Linked DNA regions of Lytechinus pictus. The protein of the gene in region 1 interacts with the protein of each later gene in a biochemical or structural test. Links are inferred from orthologs where the notes say so. Each region holds a gene or a part of one and is shown in the gene's direction. Other genes may lie near its edges.

Region 1 (8,463 bases):
ACAGCACCTGCATACACATGTATAAAGTTTAGTTTGTCTCAATATGTACTACTGCTAGTTATAATATTATGTTTTGTATGTCCAATTTACAGCGTAGGGAATACATGATGGCGACGGGCGATTTTGCCCTCATAACAGCCCTAATTGCCCCTAATATTCCCCCAAATACATGCTTTGGGGTAACCATTCTTTCTATAGACGCCCCAAGATCTGTTCCAAAGAATATTTAAGATTGATTTAAAAATCAACATTCTAACTGGCAGAAGAATAATATTTGCTTTTACTGCACTATTCGGCCCCTGGTTATAAGTGGTTTGGGTTAACTGCCCATTCCATCTAATTACTATTGTCACGTTATTCAATTATGGTTTATTATGTGGCAGTCACGGGCCACCTTTCATCATTTATGATGGCAACATCAGGCCCAAAGAGCATTGTACCCCCAAAAATAGTTTTTACCCCTGAAAGTAGCCCTTCAAATGAAAGTAAAGCCCAAAAAATTATGAAATCACTCCAATGTGAAAAATAAAAATAGTCCTTAAAAATAGAATTGATTTCTTAGTCTGCCAAATTATCTTTGTCTTCTTTGTGTCACTTTATACAGTAGCAGATCTAGGTGGGGGCATAATTGACCTAAAACCCTCCTTATTTTGATAATCAACCATTGACTATACATATTAATGTAGCTAGGAAAATTTTGATCTGCACACCCTCTATTTTTAAATTTGCTCTTTGCATTCCCCTCCAATTCAAAATATATAATCTGCCACTGCGTTTTATTGTTTTATTATCGACCCCCCATATGGTCAAAAGAAATGGAAGTACAAATTCAAGTATATGTATAAATGATGTTTATTAATTAGCTGTTTGAAAATGTGCTGGTTGCTCAGTATCATTCCAGTGATCCATTTCATAAAACTTTAAAATAACTAATAGTCAACTTGTTATAGAATTTGTGCATTTGTTATTACAAGAACTCTGTATGAATCGGGACCAAAAACCCTGTAACATGAAAGATTAAAATCAATTGTAAAATCCATTATCATTTCAACTCTATGGCAAATCAAGTACAAAAATATTACAATTGATTGTAAATATATTGATTGTGATTCCTTATGTTACAAGTCACAGATATTTAACATACTTTATATGTAAATTAAAATATATATTTCTGCTCATGATGAAATATACTTGAATTGTTAAAAATGCTGCATGTGTAAAATGTTTAAAATATTTTTGGTTAGATGGTCATCTTGATTATGAATATCGTTAGAAGAAGGATAAAATTGATGATGTGATGAGAGTGTAGGGTATAATTTTATATCAACAACTCATGGTTTCAGAGTTTAGAGAATATATGTCTGGAGATAATTGAGCAATAATTGGCAGCGTTGACTGAAGCTTGATATTTTATTGAATATCTCTTTAACCTTTTGCATCTTAGAATATACTTGTTACTAAAATGTGAAATGTGAAATTTATTTATTTCAATACTCATGCACTTTAAGTTCAAGTTAGTCAATTCATCTTTTTTCTTACCTACAGGTGCTTTTGTAATTTTTTTCTCAATGTTTTTCCATTACTGTGTGAATCTGTTTTACAAAAAAAATATTCTGTCAACTTTATTATTGTGTAAATAGTGTGAGTGATATAACTTCACATAAGTATGTATGTCTAACCAGATAGAAAGAGATTTAACCTAATGCCATGGACAATAAAGAAACCGAAATATATAATTTGAACAATATACTAAAAGCTCATTGTAATTTATATTTATAACTGCCTTGCCATTTGTCATTTGTTTATGCCATGGTCATGCTTTTTGTATATCAGATTTTCTTTTATGCCTATTAATATTGGTATCCATAGACACCTGTCCCAATACCCGTTGTATACCTCGCTATTGCTGCAATATTTCAACATGATTAATTATATGAATGCATGGTGTTATACTATAAAAGTTTGTGATCTTTGTGTCAAGCCTCTCTCGTATTTTTATTGTAAACCCTCACATTTAGGAATTTGTATATGTCTTAGACTGTTACAATGTGGATGATATTGAATTCTATTGGCTGAAATGAATGTTTATTCATTTATTATCATTATTGTTGTTATTGTTATCATTATATAAATTATGATAATTATTATTATTTTCATTATTATTATCATTATTATTATTATTGTTATTATTATTTTAATGAGACTTTAACTTTTGGTTATTACATATATATTTTAAAAAGAAAACACAAACAAAACTATTTTTTAACATTTCATTCTAAGGACCAAGCATCTCCCTTGCCATTCTGATTTTTTTTTCCTACTTGAAATTCAGAAGATATTTGTTTGTTTTATTTTTCGCCATGCATAACAAAAATAAATTGACAGAATATAGTGTTACATTGATAATGATACATAGTAGGAACTAAGTATAAACAAAATATGTTCGAAGCACAGAGTCCCTTAAGTAACAAAGGTACGTAATTCTATTGAATTAAAACATGGCTCGAAATAAAAACTAAATTAAAAATATATGTATATATTTCTTTAAATTATCCTGCTATTTTATTTATGTCAATTAAATGTAGTATGAGGTATATGACCTTTGCATTGTTGATTGATAAACGACATTGGACTTTGCAGAAAGAAGTAAGTGATGTGCATCAATTATGATCCAATAGTGACCAAACAACAGGCATGTAAATCTGAAATGTACCAGTTTGTAAATACTAGTATATGTAACATGGCAAATTTTTAGCTGTCAAATTATGGATAGAGAAAATATATGTAGCAAGAATGAACTTTGAGAATGTCTTCTACTGACTTATTTGTATTGTAGCGAGAGAGGGTTGGTACAAGCGATGGAAAAGATACTTGGGGGAATGGATGAGGGAACAAGGGGCCGTCAAGGAGGGAGATAGCTGTAGCTGGGGGGGATGGTACATATACTTGATGAGATGTATAAAGGGAGGATAGATAGGGAGAGAAAAGAACTTTATGAGATGTAGACCCAGCATCAGAGAGAGAAGGGGGTGGGGGTCGAGAGTTATTGACTTTGGGTGAAAGGAGCGAGCGAGATGAAGATGTGAGAGGCATTAATATCGGCAAATTTCTGTTGCACATTAATTAGATAGAATGTCTGGAATGCCATAATTTCTTGAGTATTGATTTCTGTGATTTTGATAAATAAACAGTCACAATTACTTGTTTAAATTTTTTCCATCCTTTTATCACTCTGTTGCTGGAATGAATAAAAACTTAAAAATAGGCATTATTTATACTTACAGGCAGGCATGGAGTATTTTTGATAAGATCAATTTATTTTACAAATGCCAAGTTTACAAAGAATGCAGAATGTGAAGTTAAGAAACAAAGGGAGAAAGAATGAACAAGAGTACTGAAAAAGCAAGCTATGTAACTCCCATATTATATACCTCTAGCCTCATTTAGAAAAGTCGGGCCTCGGTCAGGTCGTCTTGCAGATCAAAATACCCTAACGCCCCACCCCTGCACTCAGTCATGACGTGAAAAATGAAATTATTTAAGTAAAAAAAAAAGTCAAATAGCTGGTTAATATATTTAAAAAACTAACAGAAAAAACAACTGCATCATCTTCACATAATCCCCCATCTCCATGACTTATTGCCACTTCTGAAAAAAGGTGTAATTTTGCCTAAATATTTTTCATAACATGCCAAGTCTGATGGTTCTGTGTCCTTTTCATCTAAATCAAATCATAAGTGATTATACACTCCTGTTGAGAGAGTCTAAGTTATCATAAATTTGGGCCCATTTATTTATTTGTCCATCTATTTTTTATTCATGTATTATTTTTCACCTGAAATGGTGATGAAAAAGTGACAATTGGTTTTGCTGTAGGTATTTGTCCCCGAAACTTATACTTCCTAGAAAATAAAATGGGCAGTTGGGTACAATGATAGAGATCGAGGCCTAATTTGTCTTTCCAAGAGCTAAACAACTAGTTACCAATGGTACTGAGAAACCATTCAATTCCTTTACTATCCCAACAACGACATATGGATCAGAAACATGGACAACAACAAAACAACTCGAACAAAAAAATAAGTACATCACAGAGGGCAATAGAGAGAAAATTGCTGAACGTTACGTTACGCTAAGGGACAAAATAAGAAACGCACTGGAAGACAAACAAACCTATCATATGGAAAATGTGAAAGAAGCAAAATGGAGATGGGCAGGACACCAAATGAAAAGGAAAGATGATAAGTGGTCAAAAATGGCCACAGAATCATCAGAATGGATTCCAAGAGACAGGAAAAGATAGAGAAGAAGACAAACGTCTTTGGCGGCGGGACGATGTCACATATATGCTCAGAACAGAAAGTCGTGGAATTTGAAGGATCATGAATAGGGCTACATCCACCTATGGGATGAACTCGGCCTGGTGAGGTAAGGTAAAATGCCTAATTAGAATTTAGCACTATGACTTTGCCTTCCAATGAAAGTTCTGTTTTACCTTTTGACCTCTCAGGCAGTAAACAAAAGCTCAGGGTTACATGATGCGTGTACACCTTTTTTTCGTTCAGTTTTACATATTTGACGTCCCAAATCAGGGCCCCAAAATTACCCCATTGACCCGACCTTGACACCTAATATGGTCAATATGACCATTAGAAAATTGAGAGTTGTTCCTTGTGTTGTCACTGAATACATGGAAACATGTTATTGAAAGAAAGAAAAAAAAAACACGGCAACTGTTTAGAATTTGCAGTATAGTAGCAAGAGAATGATGCAAGTTGTATTTTTTTTCATTTTTTCTAGACGGAGTGCAGTGAAAGACACCATAAGCTTAACGTCGCGTGCACGTTAGCGCCAATTTTCTAAAAAGTAATTTTGATTTTGCACGTTTCTTTGTATCGGAAGGACCTTCGAAATTCAAACTATGGCGGTAAGATCGATAAAATAATTTCCTTGAAGTTTCATTATTAGAAATGAATTAAATTTAGAATGCTTTATAGATGAGTAAATGTTGATTTTATAGATTCATACGGTTACGTGCAGAACCTTTTTGGAGCGGGTGCACTGCGGAAGAAGAGATAACAATGAATGAGCTCCGCCTATGCCGAAGCCGAGGCGGCAAAGCTCCGCTGAGATCGATCGTTGATGCAGTCTCCACGGCTGCGCTAGTGCATTTTAACCCATTTTCGCACCGGCCGACTTCGAGCAAATTTCCCGACCAGTAACTCAAACTAACTGGTCGAAAACTTGGTCACAGTTCAAGGTCAATATGAGACCAAAAGTTTCGGTCTCTGTTAATATGTTGCTTGTTGGTTCAAATCAAAGGTTGTTCCGCTGAACTCTGTTACTGTTAGTGTTGGCTCCACTCACCAAATACAAGACTCAAGAGACCGAAGTTCTACTTCTACTGTCATGACTGTTCTACTTCTAGCTCGATCTGTACAGGGCCAGGCATGCCAGGGGACTCATTGGCCATATGTTTATGTATTAAGTTCGGATAAAACAGGGAAGTGAAGTTGCGCGACAGCCGAAGTAAGTCACTGATTTTTCCCCTTAATTTAAGTTTATTTTGGCATTATCGTGATCCAATTCCCGGTGAATCGGATCCACGGACAATTTTCCACAACGTAAAACATGTCCTACCTGTCTCTACCAACCTCGTACTCGTACTCGTAGTTGTGTGTCACTTGTCTCTTTTCAGTCTCCACTTTATTGGCGTAGCAAATCAGAATTTGCATCATTCTCTATAGACAGCTGGCAGCCGTCTGTTTCGAGGAGTTTTTCAACATTTTTTTTTTTTTAAATTTCTCCTCATACACAGACGGCTCGCTAGCGTGTCGCCACCATTAGGGGAGGTACAATGCAAATTCCCCCCGACGGGGCTCATCGATTTTTGTCTTTATTTCATAAATATATATGAAAATAAATGAACAAATATGCGAATTAATGTTCCCTCTTGGCATTAATTGCCAAAAACGAGGGAAAAATAAAGTCAAAAGGAAAAAAAACAGCGACTTACCTCGGCTGTCGTGTAGCTCCTAGTTCACTCGTTCATCCGAAGTCGATATAACACACAAACATATGCCGTTGGAAGAACTTCCGGGTCAACTGCGTATCAAAACCATTGGCCAATCAGATCATCTCTTTTACGTCGGGTTTATGAATACTAAAATTCTAGATGTTTTTTTTTCATTTTCCTTTATCTCTTTCTCTTTCGTTTTCTCTCTTTTTTGTTTTACTTTTCTTTTTAATTTTTATTTCCCCTTTTTTCTTTTGTTTCTTTAACTGCTCCTTTCTTTCCCCTTCTGTAATGTGTGACGTAAAGGTCATGGGGCGGAGTCTGACTTTCGTCGGCCACTTTTTCATGAATTATTCATTACCAAGATGGCTGCCCACTAGTCCGAGTCGCAAGTGTCAAATTTCAGAGTTAATCCCCTGATTGCCAGTTTTAAAGCGGGAATTTAGGGTAAGAAACTGTCGTTACTTATACATTTTCAGCTATAGGTGCATATGTATGAACTTTTGGTGGAAAATATCGCGGTATCGAGGAGAAAAACAAGAAATTAGCGGTGGCCATTGAGCCCCTGTACAGACGACGGTTTAACTTCGGTCTATGTATTTGGTGAGTGGAGCCAACGTAGTTCAGCGGAACAACCAACATAACAGAGACCGAAGCTTTTGGTCTACATTCTCTATTGCTTTTATATTTCGTAAACTATTACTTTTCATATAAATAAATCAGGATTATATTCATCTTTTTATGTTTCTTACAATATCAAACTTGCTTTATTTCGTCTACGTTTTTACTAAATAAATCAATAAGCCCTATCCCTCTTCAGTCTCCATTGCTTTATTTCGTTGATTCCTAATTTACTAAATAAATCAGAATTGCATCTACTTCTTTTCAATCTCTATTGCTTTATTCAGGATTATATTCATCTTTTTTATGTTTCTCACAATATAAAATTTGCTTTATTTCGTCTACGTTTTTACTAAATAAATCAATAGGCCCTAGGCCTAGATCCCTCTTCAGTCTCCATTGCTTTATTTGTTGATTCCTAATTTACTAAATAAATCAGGATTGCATCTACTATTTTTCAGTCCTTATACTGAGTTATAGCTTTATTTCGTCATACTTTTTATGCTAAATGAATCTCTTTTCATATATATGTTTCTTATTATTTTGCTTTATTTCGTCTATCACGTTTTTACTAAATAAATCGAATTGCATCTCCCTCTTAACAGTCTCCATTGCTTTATTTCGTTAGGTAAAAAGAATGTCTGTATAATTACTCCTCATGATTCAAGTCCCCCCTCTAAAATAAAAAGGCAATTTACCCGTTGATATTCATCTACCCCTCATTTCCCTCCTCTTCAAAACCACTCTGCCACTTTTAGACAGTTTCCTAGAGATGATAAATGAATATATGAAAAAATAACAATCATTAAAATTAATGAAAATCACATTAAAAACACAATTTAACTGTCTAATTACTCATGATCCGAGTCCCCTCCCCGTTTTAAAAACGTCAAATTTCCCATAGGAGGGGACTTGGATAACTAGGAGTACTATTACTCATGATCCAAGTCCCCTCTCCTAAAAATACAAAACGGCAATTAACCCGTTGATATTCATCTACCCCTCATTTCCCTCCTCTTCAAAACCACTCTGCCACTTTTAGACAGTTTCCTAGAGACGATAAATGAATATTTTCGATAATAAAAATCATTAAAATCAATGAAAATCACATTAAATACACTATTTAACTGTCTAATTACTCCTCATGATCCGAGTCCCCTTGCCGTGTTAAGAATGTCCAATTTCTCATAGGAGGGAACTTGGATAACGAGGAGTACTATTACTCGTGATCCAAGTCCCCTCTCTTAAAAATACAAAACGGCAATTAACCCGTTGATATTCATCTACCCCTCATTTCCCTCCTCTTCAAAACCACTCTGCCAATTTTAGACAGTTTCCTAGAGATGATAAATGAATATTTTCGATAATAAGAATCATTAAAATCAATGAAAATCACATTAAAAACACTATTTAACTGTCTAATTAATCCTCGTGATCCGAGTCCCCTTCCCGTGTTAAGACTGTCCAATTTCTCATAGGAGGGGACTTGGATAACGAAGAGTACTATTACTCGTTATCCGAGTCCCCTTCTATGGGAAATTGGCAGTCTCAACACGGGAAGGGGACTCGGATCACGAGGAGTAATTAGACAGTTAAATAGTGCTTTTAATGTGATTAATTTTGTTTCATTTAGTGTTTTTGATCATTGTTTCATCAACATGGAAGAATATACATCCACAGGAGAGAAAAGAAAAAGACTATTATTGTCGTTTGAAAAAGTGTCCGAGTCATTTGTTATTGTGTCAATGGGAAAACGTGTGGTGGAAGGAAGTCCCCGTTCAGTGAGAAGCTTCGCACAGTTTCGCATCGTGAACAATAGATTTCTT
Region 2 (8,632 bases), on another chromosome or scaffold:
AAGTTTTTATTCTTATAACAACTGAACTAGACATTCTTCTTACATCTAACTTAATTTACTAATAATCACACTTTTTTTTTAATTTCTCAAAGTATATACAGTGTTAAAAATGTGTCTGTTGTGATAAATGCTGAAGTTTTAACCTCAATTTTGAGAGAAACCATGGGAAAATAAATATTCTGTCACTCACTTTTCTACAGATGCTTTTACATTTTATAAACCTCTATGGTAAACAAATGTGTTTTTCTCTCAAGTGCGAAGATGACTATTGTACCTTTGGAATGACGTCTTCATATTTCAAAATTTCATCTGCCAGTACATTCCAATAGGATCCCAAGGATTAATTAATCTAGACACCATAGGAATTATTGTATTCTACCTCTCATTCACATTCTCTTTACACTTACAATATATTCTTATTTGTTATCATGGTGGATTATTTTAGTTTAGAAGATGAAAAGTTTATGCAATTTGTTAGTGACTCAAAAGTGCCATTGTATTGCACCTTGAATAAAAAAAAAGAAGATAGATCTTGTTTATATAAAAAGGTTAAATAAAAAAAAAAGAATGTTTAACCGTCTAAGAGTGAAAGTAATAACTTATAAATGTAGGTAAAGACTCTTTATACATTCATAAGATTATATTATATGACATATTGTATCTTTCTAAAAGTGTAGAATGCAATGTACAAAATGTGATAGGTGGACTTTATAGAGGCATCTGAACTTGATTATTTCAAAGTATCTGATGATAAAGGATACAATAACGCTGAATATGTATGTTTGACTAATAAACAGTCATGGAATTCCTCTGTAAAAAAGAAGAAATAACAAACAGGCTTTTAAAAAAAATGTAAGTCATAAAATGTGTGGTAATTATTTTTTTTACTTTTGGTTTTGGATAAGTTGGCATGTTCATTTTATATATTTTTTAAGCATGCTTCTTTGACATGCAATGCAATATTTAAACTTAGATGAACCATTTCAAAGGTTTTTTGCTTCACAATGAAAGAAATAAAAAGATAGGATTGGTTGTGATAAATTTTCTATTTCACTGACAGAAGATGAGCAATACTTTGTGTTATATAGTTGGAAGCACTATGGTCAGGATTTGACAAGAATGATGGTATACTAGTATTCTGTGGCCCATTATTATGCCTAAAATACCTGCATGATTTTGTTTGGATTTTAGTTTTAAAAGATGGTATATTTTGTTACCCCCAATACCTTGATAATTTTATTTTTTAATATTTTATATTGCAAATACAAATCCCACCTTGATGTTGGGACTGGCACACATCCTTATGTGATTGGCTTGGTATAAAAGTCTAGACATGTCTTCAAGGGAGTGATTATGCAGGGGGGGGGGGGGGGGAGAGGCCGAAAAGTTTACCTGATATTAGATAGTTGGGCTTTTTATTGGAAGAAAAAGGTTTGCTCTTGTGATGAGTCTTGGCAAGACATCTAGGATAATGAGTCAAATTAGTGGTTAATTTCAATGTTAACGATCTATGTTTTGGGAATTTTAGCAAACAAGAAATCGCACTCCTATATATCTTAGTATATCACACCCCACCATTTTCCAGCTTACTTTAATTCAAATTGGGGGGGGGGGAATCAGGGCATCCAACTTTACTCATCACGTTCAAATATTTGGAAATGGCAAACAATATGTAAACAGCTTTTGAAATACATGAATATTCTATCATCTCTATCATTTCTTTTTTGTAGTTTGATGCTGACTTGCTTATAGCTTTACTTGAAAACTTGGTTGTGTCACAAGTTGAATACAGCCCTGCTATGGACCTTTTGAAATTCATTTCTATGCAAGTAATTATGCCTCGTAGAGATCTTATGCAAATATGAGTGGAGAAAATGTGATACATGTAGGTAGTGGTGATTACTGTGGTAGCTAATATTCAGTGCATTGTTTATACATGTATAGAAAAATGATTGATCGTAATTGCTGTGATTGATGGAATATGCATCATGTGACATGCAACAATTTTTAGATAGTGCACAATAATGCACTAGCTCCTGTGTTGATTAATGTACCTTAATTTTTTTTTTAGATAATACATTTGGTTATGTTTGTGGGAATTTTGGAATATATATTTTCTTTCAAGGAAAAAACAGTATTTAACTCGACGTAATGATCAAACTCGTAATTCATTTGGTTCACTTATTAAAATCATAGTAAGTTCCCTTATGCAGATGTCTTGTTGTGGCCAATAGGTTTATCTTCAATTTCACATGCTATTAGAACTATCACATTTTCTAAATACGGTAATACACAAAGATTGGACTGCATGGAAACTTATAATTCACTTAAAATACTGTTTGCAAGTTGGTTTAAAGTATATCAAAGCATGTTCATTGTAAGGACTAACAAAGTTTTTTGGGTGTAATTTCTTTCACACTATATGACTGCATTTTAATATGCTTGGTTTTAAAGGGATAAGGGGGCAGGTCACATGTTCACATAAAATGACACTGGGGGAGAACATGTACATTTGTTCACTTGGTAAAAATGCATTTGAATATTCTGGGCATAAAGCACAGAGAGTGACTCCTAAAAATGTAACTTTGCATTTCCCTCCATGATAGCCTTATTTGGTATATAACCTTAAAGGAGAATGAAACTCTTGGAGCAAGTTAGCTTTTGTGAAAGCAGAAAAATCAAAGAATAAGATCAACAAAAGTTTGAGTAAAATAGGACTAGCAATAGAAGAGTTATGAGCGTTTGAATGTCGAGATCACTAATGCTATGGAGATCCTCCCATTGGCAATGCGACCAAGATCTATGATGTCACAGATGAACAACTCTCCCCTTTTGGACACTGAAAATATACCCCAAAACATCTCTTTTTGCTCATTCTAATCATATGACAAACGATTCATCAATGATATAATGTTGTGAAACCTCTGTAATTGTCCTCCCATATATAAAGAGAACACCTCACCTTGTGATAGACTCTATAAAAGTGAGAATATAAGTGAAATAAGTACTAAAGTAATGAGGGAGTTGTACGTGTGTGACATCACAGATCTTGGTCGCATTGCCAATGCGAGGATCTACATGGCATTAGTGATCTCAATATTCAAATGCTCATAACTTTCTTATTATTCATTCAATCTTCCTCAAACTTTCAACAATAAGTTTCTTTGATTTTTCTCTTTGATATGGATTCAGCTGGTTCCAAGGGTTTCATTCTCCTTTAAAAGATTTTCACTTGTGTAATTATACACCACATTATAAATGGCAAATTTCAAATGATAAATGAATAGGTATACATGTACGGTGTTGTTATTGGCATCAATTGTGATTATAAAAGCCTTTGGCGGAAGGGGAATAGTATATATTTTTTAAAAGTGACAATAACATCACTTGATATTCTTAGAAATCATTTGATGACATAAAATAGTTAAAGTGAGAGAACGGTTTTCTGGCTATAAATAGTTTCATGACCACTTTTGAAATTTATACCAGGGGCCCGTAACACAAAGCTTGGCAATGTTCATAGAACATTTTTCTACGTTTGATTGCATTGACTACTTGTAGTACAATCAATCGTAAAAATCAAGTGTACGATAATCGCAACTCTTTGTGTTACGGGACCCAGGACAGTGTATATGTATATAGAATGGAAGACTTTATTGGATTTTAACCAACAACTGAAATGTAAATTGTAATTTAGTGGTTGAGAGATATAAAACTCTTTATGACTGTGTTCAGTGTAATATACATTTTATATAAAAGTTGTGTTTTTAATAGTTTTGATTGTGTGTTCATATCATGTAGGTTCTACGCATTTTTATATCTTCTCTTTATAAAGTGACAGAGGTCTCCTTGAACAGAATTAGGCACAGAGTTCATTAAAGTAAATGATGTAGCTATATGTATAGTTTGTGTATCATATTGTACAGAGTTTTGAGTTCATCTCTATGATTGTGAAAAGGCAGTGGCTGATGATGATGATAATTTTGATATTTTTTACTTAAAAGGAAGGTACTAAAGGAAGGCCCAAAGACGTGGGGCTTTTCTTAATACAGTAGCTAGCATGACTGTGGATATTCATGCACTTAATTACACTGAGAAACAGAGCTGAGAAGGATATTCAGAAGAAAAAAGAGAAAAGAGGAAATGCAGTGGGAGAAAAAAAGGAATAGACCCATTAGTGAGTGTGGGACATCATAAAAAATAAACAAAACTTTTAAATGTCATAACTTTCTTATTTAACATCAAATTTTGATGGAATTGTCAGTGTTATGCTTGTTTGATGTTTCTGTCTTGATTCAAATCAACTTTTTTGGGGGTGCGGGACTTGACCTTTAAAAAATAAATAAATATATGCTTGATATGATGCTCTGCACAATACCTGGACCAGCATTGATCAAGATTACAGTACATTGCAGATGATTTTATATAAGAGGGTAAAGAGGTATTCTTGTGACAAATAAAATTAGGGGGGGGGGGTTGATATGAGCAAATTGAGTGACCTTGGGAAGGTGGGTTCGGGTAGATACATGGCCGTACACAGATTTTTATCCTGGGGGGGGGGGGGGGGCAGAGGCATATAAACATTTTTGAAAAAACTCAAAAGCGAGGAACCGTAAAGTGACCCGGCCAGCATGTGGGTTGTCTTGCGGCATTTTTTTAAGTGACGTTGAAGAAGTGTGTGCACACTGGATTAATTTTGTTTAAAAAAATCAGTAAAATTTACGTTTTCACAATGAAAGATGAATTGTATGTGTACATGATTCTCAATGAAAAAGCTTTATGATGAGATACAGAAATCTGAAGATGTATCTATAGTATAGGCAGCTGAGCTAGCAAGGGACACACACATGCGCGCGCATTGTACGCTCGATCGCTGGCTCTGTCTGTTATCTCTTCACTTATCTTTTTCCGATCCGAGGCGCCGTGTAGTGGTACCGAATGACTGCTTATCTGACGACTCGGAGCTGAAATAATTGTTTATTTCAAGCATAACTCTTCAATGTTTAAGTATGGCGACTTCGACTCTTGAAGCACTTCGAACTTCCAAGAAGGGGAACCTTATATACGACAAATATTGGCTCGAAGATGGACGTGTAGAGGTTTGTTTTATTTACGTGGTCCCATCAGTTGTTTTCTTTGTCATGTTTGTAATGTTAGATCGAGGGTTTTAGCTTCTAGTTCTACTGACAAGATCTACTCTAAACGTGGTCCCATCAGTTGTTTTCTTTGTCATGTTTGTAATGTTAGATCGAGGGTTTTAGCTTCTACTGACTAGATCTACTCTAAAACTACTAATATGTACTAGGGGCCTAAATCAAAGCTGCGGGCCGCGCGGAGCCGTGTGCACTCCTACTACCAATGAGGTCCAAACATTAACATGTATGGACCGGTTCCGGGACAGCCCGACCACCGGACAGCCCGACCCTGGACAGCCCGACCCGCTACCCTGGACAACTCGTCCCGGTCGAGTTGTCCAGGGTTGGCTCTGAATCGGACAACTCGACCACTTGAATTCTTCTTCAACATTTCATGAAATAATATTTCAAACTTTACTTCAAAAGTATTTCCCCGCATAATCCATGTTTCTACAATACATTCTCGACAGAAAATTTGACATTTCAGTGCATTTTGAGCTATTTTGAAAGAAAATAAAGCGAGTTCCCTTGCAACGAGATTACCGGTATCTTGATAAATTGATAATCCGATACCGCCGGCGAGCTGTGTTCAAATTCTGCAAATTTGAGTTGATTTTTCCGTCACTTGACATATTTTAATGATGAGGGTGTGCTATTTTGTATTTTCATATTCCATTTTCACATTTCCTCTACTTATTTAAAGTTATTCCATTTCACAAAACTGATACTTAATGCAAACTTTTGAGATAGTTCACCTGGAAAGGACACCCGATGCGGTGCTTCGCCTCGCAGGCCTGCTGGGCGACCGGCTGTGCTGTGATTGTGACTGAGTGTGGCACTCGGCTCAACTAGCTATGCGAGGTCAAACTTACTTATTTTAGTAAATTTTTCCGTCTCTTGACATATTCCAATGGCGAGAGTGCTATTTTTGTATTTTCACACTTCTTCCACTTATTAAAAAGTTTTTTTTTAATGTCACTAAGCTGATTATAGGAGTATAGGACAGTGAATGCGTGGTCGGAATGTGCTTCCCAAAACCATCCCTGACGCCCCTTTTTGGAGGCCTTCAGGCCAGGGGGGTGCTTCCAACCAACATATAAACAAATTAAGGAAATAGATTTGAAAATGTGTCAGTATGTAAGTTATGAAGTTTACAATTTTTTGTAGGAAAGTGTCTTTTTTACTCTTTATTGTTTATTTTTGTTCTTAAATAACTACCGCGGTATTACAAATTTTTATTGTTTTCTAAGTTTAGAGGAGCAGAATGGGGGTGCACAACTGACATAGATTGGGTAATTATAATTATCAAAATTTAAAAACTTAGTTTTGATATCAAAACGGAATAGTTTATTGAAAAAAGAAATGTATTCTGCCGAAATTCAAAAACTTAAAAAATTTTAATCAAAATCTAAAACTTGCCTTTCGTTATCGAAAAACATGTGTCTCATTTTTTACCTGTCGGTTTGTACTGTCACAACTTTTTTTTAATGCAACTTCCATTGGAAACAACGGGTCTTCTGGAGGATACCAGCACTTGGGCTGGTACCAACCACCTACACCCGGGATGAGGAGAAGAGGTTTCATACTCGACATGCGATGGTCTTTCCATTTCTTTCACGAGCAGAAATAATACCGAGTTCCAATGACTAATTGGGCATCAGAGCGGCAGTCCCTTGATCGATGAGGTAAATACAGCTTTTTAGATACAATAAAGCAATTTTTGTGCACTTCATGCAGGCATATCAAAGTTTGAAATATTATTTCATGAAATGTTGAAGAAGAATTCAAGTGGTCGAGTTGTCCGATTCAGAGCCAACCCTGGACAACTCGACCGGGACGAGTTGTCCAGGGTAGCGGGTCGGGCTGTCCAGGGTCGGGCTGTCCGGTGGTCGGGCTGTCCGGACCCCGTATGGACCTCATAGGCGACAATGCGTTAAAAACAGGTTAGAACTTCTAAACGTACTGTTTCCTGCACCCAAGTATGATATTACTCCCAAAATATGAGTTTTGTCCTCGTTTGTTTGTCATTTATTAAAAGATTGCCCATTAAATATATTCCTATTCCTAATTTGAATTTAATAAAATAAAGGGAAACTTACATTCGAGTCATTTTTCGATCTTTTTTTGGCAGTCAGTCCGGTCACCGTCGAGTGCGATCAAAGCGGTATGAAGCTAATTTTCAGATCACGTGATACGTGTGGTCATCACCTGATCAATCGACTATCCTTTTTTAAAGACCGCAACAATCAGTAGAGGCGCACGGCCAATATGGGAGACTCTCTCCAATAGGGGAGACAATCTCCCACATTGGAGACTTGCTTTGCAAAAGGACAAAAGAAACAACACCAACAAAAGCATGATTTTTTCCACCCAAAATTTTGTCTCACTGAGGTCAGAAGCCCATTTGTTTTGTGTATGATTGACAACAAAAATCCTTATCAAAACAAAAGTAGACGGTGAATTTTTAAAGTAGACGGTGAAAAGGGGTAATTTTTCATGAGGAATCTGCTTATCACATTTTTATTTGCCGCCAAGTTAATCCTTTTGCAGCAAATGTAAACAAAGGAAATTGGACTCCAAAACTGGAGACTGTCTCTGAAATTGGATACCCAAATTCTTTACAAAAGTCTCTGATATTGGAGATAATCTCCCACATTGGAGACAGTCTCCAATATTGGCCGTGCGCCTCTACTGACAATAATAAATTTTATTATAAAATATATATAGAATGAATAATTGCATGATATTATATATATTTCTACAATTAAAAATATTTTGTGATATGAATTTAATATTTGACGTAAAAATCGCTATTTAACAAAATATCTATTAAAAATAAAAAATCAAACAAAATAAAAACGCCTTGGACACAGTGCAAAAAACCTAACAATTTGGCCGCGCTCTTAACAACTATCGTAAGGGGCGCTCTATTTATAAATAAAGTTGCATATGTAGTTGTCTACCGCGACAGGAACAGCCGCAGAATTGAAGCCAGAAGCGTGGGAAATTGCCAGAAAATTCAAGAAAAGAACCGGTGAGTACCGATTTAACAGTACTAATTTATTAAGTAACATTTATTGAATCATTACAAGATTTATTTTTTAGTAAAACAAAGCTTAGTTCTAAGCTAGGGCGGCCCAAATGCGCGTGAGTGGAGTCCCAGTTTATTAGCACGGGTAAGTATTGGGGTGTCGCCTAGAGTGGCCGTGTGGGGGAGTTGGCATGTTGGGAGGCACCCAAGGGTTCATTACATGCCGCCGCGCCGTGTTAGTATACTAATACTAACCTCGCAATACGTGTGAGTGGTTGGGAGGAGCGTTATTAAGCCTTCAATGGATAAGTTGTTTTTATGAAAACACAAAATGTCATTTGCCTTTTATTCTGGCTTTGGCCTTTGCTATCAAGTATCATTGCTAATTTTTGAAAACAAAACAAACTTGCAAAGATGAGAAACTTTATTTCTTTTTGCAATTTTGTTGCAAAAGATATTACTAATG

The links.
Region 2: the proteins of nuclear pore complex protein Nup155-like (region 1) and mRNA export factor GLE1-like form a complex in vitro, tested with the Homo sapiens proteins (2 studies listed by BioGRID). The link is inferred for Lytechinus pictus from reciprocal best matches to the Homo sapiens genes NUP155 and GLE1.

Annotation. Positions count from the first base shown.
Region 1 is NC_087255.1:30,622,519-30,630,981, reverse strand, and holds the start of nuclear pore complex protein Nup155-like, read left to right. Parts: upstream 1-4,809; 5' UTR 4,810-4,921; coding exon 4,922-4,927; intron 4,928-8,463.
Region 2 is NC_087246.1:15,031,849-15,040,480, reverse strand, and holds the start of mRNA export factor GLE1-like, read left to right. Parts: upstream 1-4,841; 5' UTR 4,842-5,009; coding exon 5,010-5,099; intron 5,100-8,632. UniProt on the Homo sapiens protein: Required for the export of mRNAs containing poly(A) tails from the nucleus into the cytoplasm. May be involved in the terminal step of the mRNA transport through the nuclear pore complex (NPC).